2 linked regions of the Sus scrofa genome follow. The protein of the gene in region 1 purifies or fractionates together with the protein of each later gene. This does not show direct contact. Links are inferred from orthologs where the notes say so. Each region holds a gene or a part of one and is shown in the gene's direction. Other genes may lie near its edges.

The links.
Region 2: the proteins of CXXC1 (region 1) and BOD1 purify together in Homo sapiens (affinity purification with mass spectrometry; 4 studies listed by BioGRID and IntAct, counting the BioPlex papers as one, with this or other methods). This does not show direct contact. The link is inferred for Sus scrofa from reciprocal best matches to the Homo sapiens genes CXXC1 and BOD1.

The regions. Positions count from the first base shown.
Region 1 is NC_010443.5:99,935,075-99,945,977, reverse strand, and holds the start of CXXC1 (CXXC-type zinc finger protein 1), read left to right. Parts: upstream 1-5,852; 5' UTR 5,853-6,085; coding exon 6,086-6,088; intron 6,089-6,886; coding exon 6,887-7,005; intron 7,006-7,109; coding exon 7,110-7,210; intron 7,211-7,521; coding exon 7,522-7,757; intron 7,758-7,848; coding exon 7,849-8,043; intron 8,044-8,431; coding exon 8,432-8,458; intron 8,459-8,534; coding exon 8,535-8,780; intron 8,781-8,948; coding exon 8,949-9,056; intron 9,057-9,188; coding exon 9,189-9,373; intron 9,374-9,678; coding exon 9,679-9,886; intron 9,887-9,965; coding exon 9,966-10,076; intron 10,077-10,204; coding exon 10,205-10,254; intron 10,255-10,396; coding exon 10,397-10,493; intron 10,494-10,806; coding exon 10,807-10,903. UniProt on the Homo sapiens protein: Transcriptional activator that exhibits a unique DNA binding specificity for CpG unmethylated motifs with a preference for CpGG.
Region 2 is NC_010458.4:50,736,786-50,746,672, forward strand, and holds the end of BOD1 (biorientation of chromosomes in cell division protein 1), read left to right. Parts: intron 1-1,712; coding exon 1,713-1,837; intron 1,838-4,669; coding exon 4,670-4,865; 3' UTR 4,866-4,866; exon of another isoform or gene 4,867-4,937; intron 4,938-5,837; 3' UTR 5,838-6,632; downstream 6,633-9,887. UniProt on the Homo sapiens protein: Required for proper chromosome biorientation through the detection or correction of syntelic attachments in mitotic spindles.

The DNA.
Region 1 (10,903 bases):
ATGAGTTCCCAAAGACAAAGAGAGACCCAAGGCCACAGACTACAAGGCTCAACAAAACAACCCCTGTCTTTAAAAAACCAAGCACTCCCCTGTGGGGGGAGCCTGAGTCTTGCTTGCTCAGAGCTCCCTACTGCTCAGTTGGTCAATAAAGCCTGCTCGCAATCTCATTGCTGCACCCCCTGCCTCCTTCTTCCCCACCGTTCTAACATACTTGGTGCTGGCCCTTTTTAATCCCTAGGCCTCCACAAACACTCCAGGCTTGAAGGGACAATTGAAGACGCCAGCTAGGGCTACTCTCTGGGGTATTCTGAAGGCCCCTCTAAGTGCTAGGGCAAGTAGTTTCAGCCTGAAAGGGTGGAAGCCTCTCTGACCCACCCCCTGCAACCTCTTCTCCCTCCCCATCCTAAGAGTGCCTGTGTGTAAATGAGATATGTCCCAGATCCAAAAGGAATGTGGAGCCCCAATCCACAGTTCTGTTACTATCCCTTGATGACTTTTGGCCCAGCTGAGCCAAAAGACCTAGTTGGGAGTTTATATCGACCTGTAAGAAGCACCTATCCTGGGATTTCCTGCAAGGGAGATGGCTGGAGATGGATGAAATGAAAATACTCTCTCGCCCTAACCCAGTCTTCCAGAACTCATTTTTCCTTGCTTTTGGCTGACTGAGCTCTGAAATTGCAAGCACCCTCTGACGATTCTTGCCATACCATGCCCCACACCAGCCTCCAACTCACAATGCGTGGAAGGCGAGTAGAGGATTGGGGTTCTCTCTCTCTCTCTCTCTCTTCTCTCTCTCTCATTCGCATACCCGGTCTGATCTCATTTCCCATTTTTCCTCTCCTCACCAACAAATCTAGGCACCTAGTCATCTGGGTCTCATCTGGCCTCAGGGGCCATTTGCATGCTCCCCCTCCTCTGGAAAGACTTTTCCTGATCAGGGGCAATCCTCATTCACGTTCAGACCCTGGACTTCACAGGGCAACACCCCTCTGAATGTCTTGGTGGTTTTTCTCCTTCAGATCCTAAGCCCTCTCAGGAGAATGCTTCTCAGAGGGCCTAGGTGGGCTTTTAACCCCTTACTCCAAAACCTGTACTCCCAAATTAATGCTATGGGCACCAACTCCTCTCAGCCCCCACAAGATACACTTCTCAGGCATCTTCTCCACCACCTTTCAATGCTGGGACTTTGCCCAGACGTTAAACCCAAGCACCTCATATTTTTCTGCAATGTGGCCTGGCATCAATATAAACTAGATAACAGAAGCCAATGGCCTGGTACATTTGATTTCCAAATTTAATGCAATCTTGAAAATTTTCTCCAACAAAATGGGAAATGGTTGGAGGTTCTATATCTTCAATCCTTTATTTATCTAAGATCCTGACCCTCTTTTTGTTCCACTTGCAGCTCATGCCAGGTTCTTTACTAAACAAACAACCTCCTCCTCTCATCTCACCCTCCCCACAAACTAAGACAGAAACACCCCCTCATCTGTCTTCTACCTCAGACTCTGACCCTATAGACATACCTTAGCTCCCCTGATCAACTCTTATCAGGAAGCTCCCTCCCTTCCCCCTGCTCCCACAGCTCCCCTTACCCCTTATCCACCTGCCCCTGTAGCCCCTACACCTTCTTTGTCCCCCTCTGTTAATCCTCCCTCTATTTATCCTCCCCTTCCCTGCCCCCAGAGTCCCAATTCTCACCCCAAAAAGTGGTGGCTCTTCTCAAAATAACAAACTCTTTTATCCCCCTTTAAATATAAATGAGTCCTACTAAATTAAGCACATATGTAAATTCTCAAAATATAAAAGGGAACTAACTGGCCAGAATTAATTTTAGGTTCATGCGAACTGGGAAATACTCAGTATTAAATTAATATATTGTGTTAAAGCTAGTTTGTTGATCTAATTAATACAGACATGTTTTTAGAGTTATCAACATTAAGTATAATACCTTATTGTGGAGTTCCCATCGTGGCGCAGTGGTTAACGAATCTGACTAGGAACCATGAGGTTTCGGGTTTGATCCCTGGCCTTGCTCAGTGGGTTAAGGATCCGGCATTGCCGTGAGCTGTGGTGCAGGTTGCAGACGCAGCTTGGATCCTGCGTTGCTGTGGCTCTGGCGTAGGCCGGTGGCTACAGCTCTGATTAGACCCCTAGCCTGGGAATCTCCACATGCCGCGGGAGTGGGTCTAGAAAAGGCAAGAAGGCAAAAAGGCAAAAAAAAATTTAAAAATAAAAAATAAAATAAAGGTCTGTCTCCAGCCTAGATAAAAGGTTTCTTACCAGGAATTCTTAGTGCCATATACACAAAGAAAGAAAAAAAAAATTAACTCTTAAATTCACATTTCTCACTTAAGGGCCTCTACATTGAACTGGCTTATAGAGAGAACTACTGACTTCAAACGCACTCTAAAACAAGGCTCAAAAAAAACCCAAAAAACAAAAACCAAAAACACCAAGGCCTGGACAAAAAGAAGGTGGGATTTGTGAAGCCTTAAAAGAAAGTTGCTGCTTTTATAAAAATATGTCAGGACTAGTCAGAGAAGACATAAAACGTTTAAGAAAACAAGCAATTTGGTTCCAGCAACAAGGAACTCAAAATTTCTGGCCTTCTACCTCCTCCCTACTCTCCTGGCTAGATCCTTTTCCTACAAATCTCGTCTTTATTTTTCTTCTCCTAATAGGTGGACACCTCTGTTTCATATATTTTCTTTTTTACAGAAAACCATTGAATCGATCACAGACAAATGGGTCAACTCCATGCTGGCCTTAAGGACCTACAGGTACCACCAAATTCCTTGCATCTCCTCCACCCCCTAAGTGACAACAGGAAGAAGCTACAGAAGAAAAGAACATCACCCATTTTCCTATTAAGAACAGGGAGGAATCTTATGTGGGAAATGAAACAAGGCCTAAAAGAACAAAAAAATCAGCAAAACCCAGCCAAATCCAGACTTGCAGCCTCCTTCTTATTGAACAGGCCCATGTAACAAATGAACTCCCAAAGACAAAGATAGCCCCAAGGCCAAAGACTACATGGCTCAACAAAACAACCCTTGTCTATAAAAAACCCAGCACTCTCTGAGTCTTGCTAGTCAGAGCTCCCGACTGCTCTGTTGGTCAATAAACCCTGCTTGCAATCTCATTGCCTCCTTTTTCCCCCCGCTGTTCTAACAATATTCCCTTAAGCTTACTTTCATACAACAAATTGTAATTAAGTTAAAATTAAATTATATAATATTCATTAATTGATGTTAAAGTAAATTTATCTTGAGAGTTTTCTTATGGTGTAGTGGGTTAAGGATTGGTGTTGTCACTGCAGCGGCGTGTGTTTAATCCCTGACCTGGGAACTTCCACATGCCATGTCTGTGGCCAAATAAATAAATAAATTTATCTAAGTACCTTCCAACACATATTCAATTATACAAATGTTAATACATTAAATGAAAAACTAAATTAAAAATTAAATGATATTAATTAAGTTACAATCAATTAAGATTAATTCAATGTTAATACATAAAAATAAGGCAAGTCTTATGCTGGATGTGAAAGTCTCTGTTTAGTGGGTTAAAAACCCGTTTTGGGAGGAGGAGAGGGTCACAGATACCCATGTTGTAGCCCCTGTGTCTTTGTGTCTGCGACTGTGTTGAGGGGACCACAAGTAAAAACTCTTAGGAAAGGTGAAAAAAAATCAGATCTAAATGAGTACCAAACAAGTTGCTGTAAGTTACTATGTCCAGAGTCAAGAAATCCAGAAAAAAAATTCTCAGCCAAGCTTAAAAAAAATCTAATTTTTCCCAGACCTCTCTCTCCTCAACCCAAAACCAACAAAGTCACTTTTGACTTTGAATGTGAACATGTGGCCATTTACAATGACCACAACTTTCCCATCCAGTGGTGGGGTAAGGGGAGGGTGTACTGACATTTTTTTAATCTCACTTGATTTCCATGGTTGCCCAGGTTAGATCATTACATCATTACCCTGAGGAGATGCCTAGCTCTCTGATCTGCAGATTTTTTTTATTATACACACTTCCATTTTTTAAAAAATTAAAAATTAACTTTATAGGAGAGAACACTGTATCATATATGAAACAAGAGAACTGAAGTGGACATCACCAGGAATTGGGCAAATCTACACTCTGGTGGTCACCAGTGTTAGCTATGCAGCAGTAGGGAAAGGATAGAGTTAAACCCAAGTGTGTTTGGTTTGCAGAAACTAACCATTAAGTTTCAGAAAGTTCCAGACACCAGATGTTCCAAGAAGGCTAGGATGCATTCTAGTAAACAAGATACTACAGTGAGAACAAGTAATCAAGAACAGACTTGCTTGAAGCTTTGGGCAACCTAGAGCAACCTCTGCCTATTACAAGGATCATGCCTACTCCTAGGCTTAAAAATCCCCCATGGAGACAGAGCTTTGAGGGCTATCTCCTGTCTCCTTACTTGTCATAAGTAATAAGAAATAAATGCTTCCGGTTTAACTGAAAGTTCTTGGTGTGTTCATCAGTGAAGCACCCCAAGTGACAAACTCATTGTGTCTGGTCACACAGGGTCAGGGGAAGACTTGATGAAGCCTTTAAAATTTTTGGTCCATCCATTCTCACCACACATGGTCAGGTCATCATCATTTACTGCCAGTCTGTGGTTTCTCTGGACTAATTCTGAGGGATGAGGGCTGCTGCAGAGGCCCAGAGGCTTAATCTTGCTAAGCCTGGCTAACATCTGATAGGAGGAGTGACAGCTGGAAAGAGTGGTGGGAAGAGTCAACAGAGATAATCAATAAACTATACTAAGGAACAGAAGAGCTGTTGTTATGATTGTGGCACGTGGAAGTTCCCTGGCCAGGGAGTGAATCTGTGCCGCTACAGCGACTCAGGGCAGCTGCTGTGACAACACCAGATCCTTAACCCTCTGAGCCAGCAGGGAACGCTGAAGAGAGTTTTATTTGAGCCAAGCTGCGGACTGGGGCAGGAGTGCAGCCTCCACCAAGGAAGTAAGGGCTCCAGAGAAGCATGGTTTTCAGCACAGTTTCATACCCTGTCAGAACAAAGAGAATACATCAAACACGACAGGGGTACCTTTCTTCAAGGTTTCAACAGACCCTAGTTACAAATTAGCATATAGACAGACAGCGAGCGTTACCTTGACATCTGGAACAGGTACTTTAATCTCCAAGAAGATCTAGCATTGGTGTCATAGGAAGGGAGGCATTTCTCCCTACTGTAAAAGTGGACATTCTTTATATAATGGTTAAAGCAAAATACAAGGTATGTTTGACTGTTCTAGTTCACATAAAGTTCAGGACAAATCAGGTATAAGCCCGGCTGGCTTCATTAGTCCCCAATATGCGAAATTTTCTTCCATCAGAGGTGATATGGGAGGCGTAACAACAGGACTGATTTCCTTCCCAAAGCAAAGCACAGCATGCCTGGAGCCCATTATTAAAATACATGTGGAAGGGAAAAATGACTGAATAAGAGCGTCTCAATCGGGTAACGTTGCCAAAGCTGCCCCTTCGCCTGCGAACATCTAGACAGTACCAGCTGCTGGCATCGTAATCGACCGCCAAGATGGCGGCGCCCTCTCAGAAGCCGTTTAGGACGCTGCCATGTGTTGCCTATGAACGGAGGGACTCTGCCACCTTACGGAATCGGATTTCAAGATGACGGCGTCTGCTTGGAAATCGCTCAGTAGGCGCGACCATATTGCCTAAACGTCTGGGCCGTACAAACAGTCCTGTACGGACAGGACCCGCAGACAAGGTGGCGGCGCCCTCGGTAGAGCGAAATATAGGCGTGGCCATGTTGCTTGCGAACTTATGGACGCGGCCACCGTACGGTCTCAGTAGTCAAGATGGCGGCGCCTGAGAGACAGTCCGGGCTTTTAGGCGTGCTACTTGCTTGTTTGTCGCGGAGCGGACGCACTGGGCCTGCGCAATAGGAGTACCTTGCTTGGGAGGCGCGTCTAAAAGCGGAAGTGCTTGTGGGCGCCTTTGCAACGGCCGCGGACGCCGCCGAGCGGTCTGTGTAGGTTCGCGGGTCTCTGGCGGGGTTTGTGAGGGGCTTCGCCAGGAGCGGAGAAATGGTGAGTGCGAGGTCCCAGGATGGGTCGGCGGTCGAGGTCAGTGGGGTTGGAAGCGGCGGGTTCCATGGGCAAACGCATAGGGGGTCTTTGGTGAACCGTAAGAAGAGTCTCTGGGCAGAATGGAGGGGGCCCGTGGTAAGCCTTAACAGGAGTCTGTGGGTAGAATGATGGGGGGCTGATGGTCAGATTTTTTATTTATGCGTAAGCCACATGGGAGTTCTGTGATGAGGGTCCGTAATGGAAGTTTAGGGGGGATCCGTGGTGGTAGTTCCTTGGGGGTCCGGATGGGGGATTCTTTGTGCGGAGTGATGATAAGCTTGCGAAGAGTTGTCTTGGGCAGTCTGGAGTGAGCAGTGTGAGTCCGTGTGGAGGGACCCAGGGGGCGGGGCTGTCTCCGAGGTTAATAACCGGGCATCTGAGGGGAACCCAGGTGGGAAGGCTGAGGAATAAATCATATGGTGTCTGTGAGACCCTGTGGTGGGGATTTGTGGGGAGCCATGTCGGAGGGCAAAATATGGTGAGTGGTAGGTTGTTTGTAACTAGCCGTCAAGAGTGGGAGAGTGGAGTAATGGGCTATCAGTGGGATGAGTGATTGGAAGTCTGGGGCAGAGTAGTGGGTGTCAGAAGTGAGTCATGGGGGTGATCTGTGGGGACTATGGTGGAGAGGTTGATGAGGAGCCATGATGAGACTATTGGCAGAGTGTTGGGGTCTGTGGTGAACCTTGATGGAACTGTACTGGAGGGATGAGGTGCCATGATGGGGGTTCTCTAAGAAGCCATGGTGGGGATATCCCACAGGAGGGGGATGCTTCAGACCCAGAACCTCCAGATGCTGGGGAGGACAGCAAGTCAGAGAATGGGGAGAATGCGCCCATCTACTGCATCTGCCGCAAACCAGACATCAACTGCTTCATGATGTGAGCTGGGGGAGAGGTGGGCAGGATTGACACCTGGCCAGGTTGCGGGGAGGCCGATGGGGCAGGACCCCTCACATCTCCATCACTCACCCTGTTTTCTGCAGCGGGTGTGACAACTGCAATGAGTGGTTTCATGGGGACTGCATCCGGATCACTGAGAAGATGGCCAAGGCCATCCGGGAGTGGTATTGTCGCGAGTGCCGAGGTGAGGGAGTGGAATGGACAGGGCAGGCAAGTGGGGCTTCGAGGGAGGAGGAGGAGCCTTTATGGGAAGGTGAGTCCTGGGGAGCGGTGATATGTGTCTGGGGACAGAGTGATTATTGGTTGTGCTGAGCTGGAACGGAGGCTTCATTGTGAGCTGTGATAGAAAGTCCCACTGGCAGGGGCAGCTCTTCTGGGGGTATGAAGACAGAGCAGGTGGGTGGGACAGAAGAGGAGAGAAGGGGAAGAAAGACTTCTGGGACCATCCATATCTCCCAGTGCCAACACATGCTGGCTGTATCCTCTGTCCCACAGAGAAGGATCCCAAGCTGGAGATCCGCTATCGGCACAAGAAGTCACGGGAGCGGGACAGTAACGAGCGAGATGGCAGTGAGCCCCGGGACGAGGGTGGAGGGCGCAAGAGGCCTGTCCCGGAAGCGGACCTGCAGCGCCGGGCAGGGACGGGGACAGGGGTTGGGGCCATGCTTGCCCGGGGCTCCGCCTCGCCCCACAAATCCTCTCCACAGCCCCTGGTGGCCCCACCCAGCCAGGTGAGTGGCTTTGATGTCTGGAATAGGTGAGGGGATCCTATCTCAGGCCCTGCTCTGGTTCCTAATTTCTGTTCTGGGCACCTCGTCCTAGCATCACCAGCAGCAGCAGCAGCAGCAGCAACAACAGCAGATCAAACGGTCAGCCCGCATGTGTGGCGAGTGTGAGGCCTGCCGGCGCACTGAGGACTGTGGCCACTGTGACTTCTGCCGAGACATGAAAAAGTTCGGGGGTCCCAACAAGATCCGGCAGAAGTGCCGGCTGCGTCAGTGCCAGCTTCGGGCCCGGGTGAGCATGGGCAGGGCTGGGCAGGGTCTGGGGGGGCCATTGTCTTCAGAAAGAGATGATTAAGGCTAGGGCGGGTGGGCTGGGTGGGGTGGGGCATAATTGTATACAGATAGCTGGGGAGGAGCCCGGCCTGTCCTGATGAATGGGGTGCAACCAGGTGTGCTGGGCTAGCAGGGGAGCCCCCAACCTCAGCTGGGCAGGGTAGGACCAGATGTTTCCAGGTGGTCAAGCATGTCAAGGCAGGTGGGGCAGGGCTGAGCATGTCCTAGTGATGGGGGGGCAGGTGTGTTTAGGGAGTTGGTGGGGTCAAGCACTTGTGGAAAGGGTAAGGGCAGGGCCACCCTCCATCCACCTGGGGCTGACCTGGGCCTTCCTCCTGCCGGCACAGGAATCGTACAAGTACTTCCCTTCCTCGGTGAGTCCAGCCCCCCAGGGCGGGCGGGGCATGCGGGCAGGGCGGTCAGGGCCAGTCCTGAGATTCTGCCCCGCAGCTCTCGCCAGTGACGCCCTCAGAGTCCCTGCCAAGGCCTCGCCGGCCACTGCCCACCCAGCAGCAGCCACAGCCATCGCAGAAGCTGGGGCGCATCCGTGAGGACGAGGGGGCAGTGGCATCTTCGGCAGTCAAGGAGCCACCAGAGGCTACGGCTACGCCCGAGCCGCTCTCGGACGAGGATCTCCCACTGGACCCTGACCTGTACCAGGACTTCTGTGCAGGGGCCTTTGATGACCATGGCCTGGTGAGCAGGCAGAGCGTCCCATGGTGGAAGGGTAGAGGTTACAGAAGCAGAGAATGTCCATAATGAGGAGAGAGGAGGCAGAGGGTATGGAAAGCTGATTTGGGGACCGAGTGGGTGGTGGGGAAGTTAGGAGTGGAGCAGGCGAATCAGTGCCTGCCTCACTTGCAGCCCTGGATGAGTGACACGGAGGAGTCCCCATTCCTGGACCCCGCGCTTCGGAAGAGGGCCGTGAAAGTGAAGCATGTGAAGCGTCGGGAGAAAAAGTCTGACAAGAAGGTGATGGAGGCAATGGAATTGGGGTGGGGAGGGAGGCCGAGAACCAGGAAGCGGGGTGGGTGGGGGTGTAGGGGGAGACAGGACCTGGGGTTGACTTCAGCTCTGCCCTGACCCGACCAGTCTTCTCCACAGAAAGAAGAAAGATACAAGCGGCATCGGCAGAAGCAGAAGCACAAGGACAAATGGAAACACCCTGAGCGCGCTGATGCCAAGGACCCAGCATCGCTACCGCAGTGCCTGGGGCCTGGCTGTGTGCGCCCTGCCCAGCCCGGCTCCAAGTATTGCTCAGACGACTGTGGCATGAAGCTGGCAGCCAAGTGAGTCATTCCTGGAGGGCTTAGGGGGTCAGCGAGCACAGAGTAGGGCATGACCAGAGCCCCCTTTATGCCGACCAGTCAGTCACCTCACCTGGCCACCTGCCACCATTCAGTCAACCAGGCACCCACCTGTCCATCCAGTGACTTACCCATCCATCCATTTGCTCATCCACCCAGCTATCTCCCATTCAGTCACCCATTTACTTGTCCCTTCCCCATTGCATCACCCACCCATTGGGTGTCCACTTCCTCACCTTGTCGCTGGCCTTCTCCCCTGCCTGCACCGATGCTCTGCCTCCCTGCAGCCGCATCTATGAGATCCTCCCCCAGCGCATCCAGCAGTGGCAGCAGAGCCCCTGCATAGCTGAGGAGCATGGCAAGAAGCTGCTTGAGCGCATTCGCCGGGAGCAGCAGAGCGCCCGCACCCGCCTTCAGGAGATGGAGCGCCGATTCCATGAGCTTGAGGCCATTATCCTGCGTGCCAAGCAGCAGGCTGTGCGTGAAGATGAGGAGGTAAGCAAGCACGGGCACAGCAGCTCGGGGCCTGGTACCAGGTCCTGCCTGGCCTCACCGTCCCTTCTCCCCGGTGCAGAGCAATGAGGGTGACAGTGATGACACAGACCTGCAGATCTTCTGCGTCTCTTGCGGGCACCCCATCAACCCACGAGTTGCCTTGCGCCACATGGAGCGCTGCTATGCCAAGGTCAGGGTGTCGGCCTGAGGGGGCGGACGGTGTGGGGACAGCATTGGGTCCCTGGGGACAGATGTGCCGTCTCGCAGGGGCACACGGCATACATCCACAGTTCCCTCCGTTTGTGCTCACCCCTCCAGTATGAGAGCCAGACGTCCTTTGGGTCCATGTACCCCACACGCATCGAGGGGTAAGTGTGGGCGCTGCTGGAGGGTGGGGCTTGGAGCAGGGGGTGTTAGGGCTGGGGTCAGAAGTGGAACGTTGTGGGGCTTGGGCAAGGAGGTTGTGCCCCCTCTGCTCCCACAATTCCCTTCTCTGCTCCACACCACCAGGGCCACCCGCCTCTTCTGTGACGTCTATAATCCTCAAAGCAAGACGTACTGTAAGCGGCTCCAAGTGCTGTGCCCTGAGCACTCACGGGACCCCAAAGTAAGGGTTTCTCTCAACTCTCCCATCTGCTTCTTCCTCCCTCCCTCCCTGCCCCATAGTCACCCCTTCCTCGCCCTCCTTCCTTCCCTGTAGCCTGCCTCCCCACTCACAGCTCCCTGTCCTCTTCACCCTCATTCCTCTCCTCTGCCTGTTGCATCACCTCCTATTCCTCCCTTTATCCTGCCTCTTCATCCTTGTCCTCCCCTTTGCATTCCTTCCCACCTTCCCCCGAACTCACCACTCCCTCTTCCTCCTCCCTGACCACTCCCCACTCCTGCCTCCTTCCCACCTCCCCACCCCCATCTCCCCGCAGGTGCCAGCTGATGAGGTATGTGGTTGTCCCCTGGTTCGGGACGTCTTTGAGCTCACAGGTGACTTCTGCCGCCTGCCCAAGCGCCAGTGCAACCGCC
Region 2 (9,887 bases), on another chromosome or scaffold:
GTGGTAACATTAGCTGTCTTTTGTCCTTTTCAGTGAACAGTTCCTATCTATAACTGGGTGAGTTCTTTTGAATAGTAGAAAGTATGGTATCAGGATTCATGGTTACAAGTGACAAAGGTAATTCTAACCCCTGTAAGCAAAGGGGAGAATCTGTTGACTCATGGGATCTAAGGAAAAATAGAATGAACACATTACCAGAAAGGTAGGGGCGCTCTGGAACCAGGGATGCTCCACTAGGGCTGCCTTTCAGCTCTGTTCTTTGTAATTCTAACTGCTACTGCAGAGCAGAGTCATCCATTTGGTTGTTGGCATCTCTGGGTTGCCTCTTACAGCTTCTTCCTCTAGAAACAACTCCCAGTTCAAAAAATCCCAGGGAATGTCTGCACATGGGTCAGACTCCCACCCCTGTGACCAGGAGAACATGGTACCCGCTGCCCTACTCTTGTGAAGAGGGGAAGATGGTTACCAGGAAAAAGGAGTTGCTAGGCAGATAGGACATGGGCATCTGTGAATTTTATTCCTCACCATCTCCCTTCCTTCCTCTTTCCAGGTTTAGTGGCGAGTCTTTGTTTGTGAGTCATGGCTTTTAGAAAGAGCCCACTCATGGAGCTGGGGCCTACTGATTCCTTTGTCAATCTCATTTACCTGGCTGTTAGCAAACTTTTTCCACAGTAACACTACAAAAGAACCCAAATCTCGGCGGCTTATAACAAGTATTTGTTCTCAGGCTGATGGAATCACAAGTCAGCTGAATTTCAGTTGTTATGGATAGGCTTGGTGGCTCAGCTGTAGGCAGCCTGGACTAGGGGTCCAAGCTGTGAGTTGGGGTTAGGAGTGTTGTACATGTACCTGTCCTAGGTCCCAGGCTAAAGGGACAGGGGGTGCAGAGGACATACACTCATCAGAAAATCACCAGAGTACAAGCCAAGGCAGACGACACAACCACATTTCGGACATCTTGTCGCTGCGACTCCATCAGCCAGAGCAAATCACACTGCTCAACACAACATCGCTGGGGTGGGAAGGATTCCGGAGTGAAGTATGAAACACCTGGTTTGGAGAAGAGCGGCTGATAGTGCCAGAAGATCTTGGCGCCTCAGAACATGCATTCCTTGTGTTTGCATGGATTCCTTGTGTTTATCAAGTTCCTTTCTGGTATTTGTTCTCCTGATCCCAGTTGGGTCTTGAACATTTGAGACCAGTTAAGTACCTCTCAGGCTCCTTTGGGGACTTGACTTTTGCTTCCTTTCAGCCTTTCCCACTGTCCATAGGCTTTGACTTTGGTCTGCATTCGGGAGTCATGCTGCGGTCTGGGTGGCCCTTCATTTTATGCTGCGGACCTGCCTGGTTAAGCAGGGCAGTTAATACTTGTTTTACAGATGGAAATACCTGAGACTCAGAGGTTGGCTGACTGTTAAGTCCTGAGAGCTCGTAAGCAGCAGAGCTGGGCTAGAGCCCATTTCCTTCAATTTGGAAGGTGTTTTGAAAAGTAAGTAGGGTCAAAAAATCGTGCCCACCCACCATAAAGTAGGCACACATGATGGTCGTTACTTCATGCTCTGCCACGCTGCACGGTGATCATGGACACAGTGGAATTGTTTTTAAGGACTTGAAATTCTGTGTTGCTATGAAAAGCAATGTTCTGAATGACTAATTTCCAAAACTTTGGTTCATGTAAGTCCTGACCTTGCCCCTTCTTTTTACTATTTTAGCCAGCTTACCAAAACCTGAGGCAGAAAGTGGATAATTTTGTGTCAACACACCTGGACAAGCAGGAATGGAATCCTACGATGAACAAAAACCAGTTGCGAAATGGTCTGCGGCAGAGTGTGGTTCAGTAAGTAAGCAGAATTGAGAGCGAAAGGCAGTCATCACAGGCATGGCACACAGGAAGGCCGAGGCAAGTCACTGCTGGTCAAGGTATACGACACACAAGTTGCAGCAGACCCTTCCTTTATTAAAATTAAGACTGAAGTAAGCCAAAAACTCAATTGAAATTCTTTCTTCCTACATAGGCCTCCCATGTGCATCTCTACTGGGAAGGATGTTCCACATGAGGACACATTTCATGCTCTTTGACATTTTCGGTAGAGTCTGAACATACACTGGAGTTCATACCAACATATCAATGTTTGGGTCTTGGGCAAGCGTAGGTGGGTCTTTATTCTCACAAGTCAGCGTACATTATACAAGTTCTCTGAATCCATCTGGCCCCTGTAAAGTGTACTGGCAGCTTCCAGGAAGGCATGGAGTCTTACTAAAGTATGGCCTTCACAGAAGCAAACTGAACCTTAGTTAATGAGGTGCTACTGTCACGGGGCACAGAAGTGGAGGTAGCTGATGTCCTAAGATAAGATTTTTCTAATCTATTCAGAATCCTTTTTTGCTCTTAATATGCTTATGTGCAGACTTTCTTGATCTACTAATTCCTGAAATATCTAAAAGCTTGTGAGGCCTTCTTTAAAACAGAACTATCAAGGAACTGTGTTGAGTGGGGAAAAAAGAAATAGCCAATATCAAAAAGATAACATGGGGCATGATTTCATTTATATAACATTTGTGAACCACTGTAATTATAGAGATGGAGTAGATTAGTGATTCCCGGGGCTTGGGGCTGGGAGGGGGGCGGGTATGAGTGTGCCTAGAAAGAGGTAGCGTGAAGCGGGTGTGGGACAGGTGAGTACCTTAATCGTGGTGGTTACCTGAGGCTACTCATGTTCAAGTTGCACAGAGCTCCCCACACAGAGGCACACGAGTGCAGCTGTCACTGAGACGTAAATGAGGTCAGGATTGTACCTGTGCTGGTTTTTCCCCCTTTTTTGGGAAGTATAATTGACATACAGCATATTGATTTCAGGTATGATTAGTTTGAAACATACCAATTTGATATTTGTATGTATTTTGAAATGATCACCACAGTGAGTCTAGTTAACATTCATCAGCACACAGAGTTAATAGAATTTTTCCTTTTTCCTATGTCCCGGTTTTGATACTGTACTGCAGTTGTACAGAATGCAAACATTAGAGGTGGCTGGGTAAAGAGTACATGGACCTCCCTGTGTATTTCTTTGCAACTGTCTATGACTATATAATTTCAAAATAAAAAGGTTTTAAAAATAGAAAAAGATGTTTATTAGCAATCTGACACTTTCATGATGGTTGGTGAAATCTGAATCTTTTTAAACTAAAATTTGTAAATGCTCTTGGGGCTAGGAAACAAGCAAGCTACCGCAGGAAGCCCAGTACCTTGTCATTCTGAATTCATTATTCAGTGCCTTTCTGTTTCTCTAGGGAGCAGACTAGAGAAGGGGACAGTAGCTGCCACTTACTGAGCAACTATTTCATGGCTGGCATTGGTCCTTATTTGTTGCTAATCCTTAACACAAAAAAATATTTCTTCTTAAGCTTAAGTAACAGAGCAGAGGAAACTTAGCTACATGATATTTGTTCATTTCCTCTTCTGTTTTAGACTCCTAACAAGATTGTTTCCTCCAAACACTCTTAAAATCTCCAGAAGAGGAAGCTATACTCTTGGTACTTTGTTTTCCTTGATCAGGCTTTTCTCCCCCAGAAAAGACCCCTGTGACTCAAACCCTGGCAGCAGGGTAGTGGAGGCAGGAAGCCATTGACTTGTGACTAAGGAGGGGTGGCTCTGCTTCCCCACTGACCCATGTCCTGCTGCTGACCTCACTGGGTGCCACGGCGCTCATCTCTAAGGGCACACGCTGTCTACTGGGCTCTGCCTGGAAGTGCCCCTCTACTCTCATGGCGGCCTGTGTACATGTAGGCCTCCTCTTGCTAAGCTGTCAGTTAGCGCTGGATCTAGGGAGCATTTGATTCACCACTCAACCTAACCAGTCCAGAGCCTGCTTCTCGTTTCTCTTAAGTTATTTCCCTGGCTGTACCCTGACACACCATTTGCCCCATTACTGCAGGACCTACTTTTACCTCAGCAAACGCTTGAATGGCCTAAGAACTCAAGTCTGAAGGAAAGTAGGTAAAACCTGTCTACCACGTTTGTAACAGTATTTGAATATTGTAAGCCTTTAAAAAGAACAGTTTAGTTTGACCTGCAATTAACAGGTCAGTTAACTAAACAATTAACTAGACAAATGAATTTGGACTATTTTTTCCAAACTCTTCAAATGTGATTTGTTTCCTGTAACCATAATCTTCCTCACCACCCACCCTTGGTATTGGAATATAGGCATTTTGACTAATATATGCTCTTCAGAAAGGATTGGGGTTGTATTTTAGCCCTTTAGGAGCTGAGAACCAGTCTGTTTCTAGTCTGTGTACTTGTTTGCTTCCAAGTGGCCTAGTGTGTGTAACAGTGGTCCAGCTGAAGGCATTGTTGAATTGCTGGTGAAGCTGTACACGTTCCTAGCCCTGACTGAGCTGTGCTGCGTAAGCCTAAGAGGCAGTAGGCAGGTTGCTGCTGGAGGCTGCTTCTCCTGCCTTGACTCCTGGGAGGACAGATGTTGGAGGAAGCGGAGTCAGGCGGGAGGCTTTGCTGGTGCCATTGAGGTTTTCAGCCTCCCTGTGCCATCGGTTCTTTCCTACCAAGTCTTTGTTCTTTGTCTTTGGGATAGTTTTGTTCTGTTCTTTTGTACAAGGTTGGGGTGGGAGTGGGGGTTAAATAATGGAACGATCTGTTTGTCTCCTCAAGGTCAGGGATGTTGGAAGCTGGAGTGGACAGAATTATTTCCCAGGTGGTGGATCCCAAACTAAACCACATCTTCAGGCCACAGATAGAACGAGCAATTCATGAGTTCCTGGCAGCCCAGAAAAAAGAAGCTGTGCCAGCACCCCCTCCAGAGCCTGAAAGCCAGGACCCTCCAGCTCCATCCCAGGATGCCTCCTAAGGTCCAGTATCCATCTTTTGTCCAGGAGCATTCACCTCTGGCTTGTAGATATAGAAAATGGATAGAAAAGGGGTAAGCCATTACTGAGGATCATGTTTCTTATCTATTCAAAAAAGTTTTTACTGCAAATGGACTTCATTTTGTCATGAGTTATTTTTTACTAAGAACTAATTAGTAGCATTTTCCTGTGTCAGTGAGTAGTATGATTTTCTGTGTCAACAGAGCTGAACATTTAAGCTATGAATAGATGCTTCATTAGAAACCAGCTGGGATGATTGGTGTGCGGAAGGCAAATTCAGATGAAAATCTTGTTGTTCTGAAATTGCTTACATAAGTCTCTCCCCTGGGCATGAGTTAACTTGGGTTTACAATTTGAATATAAAAAAATCAAGCTGTGCATTCTAAAGCAGCATCCTAAATGGGCTTGGAGTCTGCATTGTGCACTGCTGGGTTGCCTTGTATTTAGTAAGGATTTCAATTTACCACCATCAGTTATCATGGGATTCTTCTGTTGTGAGCACTCTTTTCTTTTTCTTTCTCCCCATTACATTTGAAATGATAAAAATCAGCTGTAGATGTACAACACAATGCTTTTTGCAGGGGTTGGGAGACATTAATAAACATAAGCAGTGATTACTAAGTAAGCAGTGGTTGGTTTCTAGCCATTGTTGGTAACCATTAGGGAGTGCCTTATCCCCTCATTCTACCCTGGGGCTCTTTTTATGAGATTCTTCAAGGTGTCTGTTATTTTTGATAAATAAGATAAGTATCAGTGAGTGAACAAAACAAGAATATCAGGCTCGTGTGTGGCACTCAAGAGAGAAATTCTCTTTGTGCCTATATTAAAGGACCTCAGTTCCATTATGGAGTGTAAAGCATTCATTTCAGTCTTTCTAGTTTAATTTCAATTCCTTTTAGCACATAAACATAACACAAAACTAACATTTTGATATGATTATTTTTTCTTTTTAGAATATGCCTCACACATTTTGGAAGCTCCACTAAATTAGTGGTGAAGACCTGGATTCAGTGACATAAGAGTACGACTTTAGAATGAAGACAGGCCAAGGTCATCACTGACGTCAAGATCCAACCTGGATTGTGGGGCAGTGCCCAGACAGAATAGGGAACGAGTGTAGCAGTAGGAAAGTTGACACGTGTGCCCCCACAGTGTGCTGCCATCTGGCCAGTTTGTCTAAGCTGATGACACCCAGTAGACACTACAGATATATTAAGAAACACTACATCAACCTGGGGTTGTCCTGAAACAAACCTTTATACTTGAACTTGGAGACTGCGTGCAGATTTTAGGGTTTGTGCCTGGGGATAAGCAAACGTTACCAATGAAGGAACGGATCTAGTCCCAAGATGCAATTTCAAAGAATGACAGTAACGGTTAGTCAGGAGTGGGCATTTGACAGTGCTTATTTGATACTGTTTCTCAGAGTTGCAAGTTAGAGTGTATAAGCCTTTAGCATCAAGGAGCTTTGAGACTGCTGCGACCCTCTGGTACGTGACTCTTGTAGCTTCAGTTCCCTTTCCCCGGTAAGCGGTGTCAAAACGCGGACCCTAGAAATCATGGAGAAATGCAGGCTTAGGTGGAAGGAAAAACTTCTGCAGGTGCTCTGTGCAAGGCTTGCTTCTTCCTATCCTGCAAAGGCTAGTGAGTCCTAAGTGTGTGTATTTGATTCTCATGTATGTGTTTTTTAGAAGGTGAATAATCAATAAGTGGCTTAAGTTTTGTAATAAAACCATTTGATACTCTTACTCTGAAGCTTCAAATCATTCTTAGACTCCAGGTGTGCAGGGAAACCTTTTTCCTCGGCCTACGTGCCATTCCTGTGTACAGCACATGACACAATGACATTGAAGGATTGGTAGACACACCTTGGAATGACCATCATGAGTGTGGCCGGAAGTGGGCGAGACCTTCCTCACTTCCCCTGACCATTGCTGATGCTGGTCTTTAGTCGTGGGCAGTCTGCTCTGTCAGTGTTTCTCTCAAACTTGGGAGTTTGCAGAAGTATCACCAGAATCAAAGTGCATATTCTGATTCCGAAGCTCTAGGAGGACCTGAGAGTATTTCTGATAAGTTCCACAGGACCCCCAGCATTTTGCATCCCAAGCTTTAGAGGATAGCAAAACCGACTTCAAACCAAGAGTCTTTGGTTTTTAGTTGAGTCTCCTACTGGATATTGTTAACTCAAATTTTAACCTTAATGTTTAAATGTTCACCTTTCCCATCAACACCCATAATTTAGGGCTGCACTTCCATGGTTAGCAAAAGGTTCGGACAGCATGTATCCTCATTTTAAAGCAAGCCAGCCACATGTTTAGGGCAGGTAGCATTTCCTTCTAAAGGGTGTTCTTCCAGGTGAAAAAGGTTGCTGTCCTTTTTGGTTTGGGATTTAACAGGCAAGTCCTCAGTGCCCAGAAAAGGGCCCCTCCAGTCCTCTTCACTCTACTGATAGGTAAACATGGAATGACCAGTCTTACCAGTCCTATGCTTTGCAAAGAAGCTTCTCAGTCTAGTAGCCCCTCTTCAAGGCCTTCAAGGCGAAGTTCCTTCCCTGGGAAGCCTCTGCTCCAGGAGAGAGGTCTCAGCAGAGCCTCTTTCCGTCAATCCAGCCCCTCTAACACTGACCTCAACCCAGTGACAGAGGGTAGAATAGAGCAACCCAGAGAAGGCCTCATCCTTCTGCCCCCAAACGCCCAAGGGACCATGTTGTATATGCTTTCTGGCAGATAGTTTTTGGTCCATCTCTGTTCTCTTTCCATTACTAGAGAAGCTTGTACCAGTTGATAAGAAACGTCCTGATTTTCACAAAGTGGTAAATACGCCAAGTTACCAAGGAGTTTTGTTCTTCATTTTAGCCACTATTCTATCCACTAAGAGTCACTGTAGACTAGAGATAATTTTTTCAAATGAAATCATCAGATTACAGAAGTAACCAGACCCATCGCTACTGCAGGGACAGAGGACTGTCTTTGACTCTCAGCTGAGCCAGACTGAAATGAAAGTAGTGCCCATGTACCCTGGAGTAAGTGTAGTTAGATCGAGGCCAGGAAAGTGAGACCAGACAAACAACCCAAGGAGAGGCTGGTAAAACGACAGCCAGCTGTGGCCCCAACCATAAGAACCGGTCGCTCACCAAGCCTATCTGCATTCTTGACGGAGTCCTCAGGCTTGGGTATTGGATTAGGCAGGCAGAACCTAGAAAAATCTTGTGTGTTCTGAGGTAAAGAATTTCCCTGAGGAAGATCAGGCCACCAAAAATATCTCACCCCTAAACACTTGGCTATATTCATTCCTAAACAGGAAACTAGTTGCCCTGGACCTCAAAGCTTCTCCCTGGAGTTGGAAAAACCACTGCCATTTGCAAAAGCCTCATGAAGCACAGAACTGACCTCAGTAAGACATCAACAAATATGACCAATCTTTAGAAACCATCAAAGCCTGAGAGTCGCGATCACAGAAGAACCCCACGCTCGCTTTCGTAGTCCACTTCCTTCGCCTGGAGCAGCATCTACAATTGCTGCTGGAGACGGTTGCTCCCAGCATGTCTCCAGGTACCAGTCTAAATGCTCGACTGGTGTTGCCAGACCAAGAGGTCCACCCAGTCATGATGGTTTAACTCTTTTTTTTTTTTTTTTTTTTCTTTTTAGGGCCACACCCGCAGCATATGGAAATTCCCAGGCTAGGCGCCGAATCAGAACTGCAGCTGCCGGCCTACACCACAGCCACAGCAACGCAGAGTCTGCGCCACAACTGCGATCTACACTGCAGCTTATGGCAGCACCAGATCCTTAACCCACTGAGCAAGGCCAGGGATTGAACCTGAGTCTTCATGGATACTGGGTTCAGTCAGGTTCATTACCACTGAGCCACAATGGGAACTCCTCTCTCTTATTTTTTTCCTCCACTTACAGAAGTTTGTGACTCTTAGGTCACATTTTCAGGCACTGTTTTATCCTATTTCTGCCATTTACTCTTAGCTTCTATGTACTCCCAAGGGGCTGTAGAGGTCCATGCATTCTGTGTCACTCACTAGTGCTGTGGACTGAATAAATACTAGCAGGTTCATTACAGCAGGGCTTCTCTGAGCATAATCACCCGACCAGCAGCAGCATCACCCTGGAATTAGATGTGCAGCCCCAACCCCAGACCTATTGATTCAGAGACTTGGAGAGGGGGCCAACAAGCCTTCCAGATGATTCTGACACACACTAAAAATCATTTTCACTTTAGGAAACCTTTTTGGGAAGTCAGCGATGCTGACTGTAATGACAGTTGGATTGTGTTAATGGATAAACATAGTGTCTACATAGTGGATGAAATCAGTGTCTATTCTAATAGCTCCGGAAGGCGAGACTATGATCTCTTTTTTATTTTTTATTTTTATTTTTATTTCTCCTAATCATCTCATTAGTCCGTTGCAAGGACTGTGCATTTGGCCATTTTGGCTTAGAAATGTCTGCGTGTCGTTTACACCTCCTAAGCTTTCAAAAGCTATAAGCCGTCTTCTTAAGATGAGTTTGCTAAGCAACTCAGGATTTTGCCAGGAACCCTGCAGGAAGGCTGCCAGTGGCTACTAAAGATAGAGGAGCGATGTCTGGGGGGACTTAGCAAAGGTCAGGGCCTGGCTGTGCCCAAGGCTGGCACCGAGGTTTGGACTTGAAAATTGCGTCTGGATCAGCACTGGCTGGAGGCCAGGTACTGCCTCCTTGGCTGCCCAAAGGCTGCTGAGGACCGGGTGGGAAGCAGACAGGAAAGCTGGAGCAGACAGGCTTTCTTTGGCGCTGTGTATTGCACCCTGTCCATCACCTTACCCACGGAGGAGCCAAGAGGTCAGCTTTTATGGTCTTGTCACTGGGGATGGGCTCAGGTCCAAGGCCATGTGGTAGTAATTACCCAGCCTCTCAAATTGGTCACACAGCCTGAGACCTAGCTAGCCTTTCTGACTCCAGCCTCCAGGCTCCCATTTGGCCATCATTCTTGAAACACTGCTTTCATCAAGTATC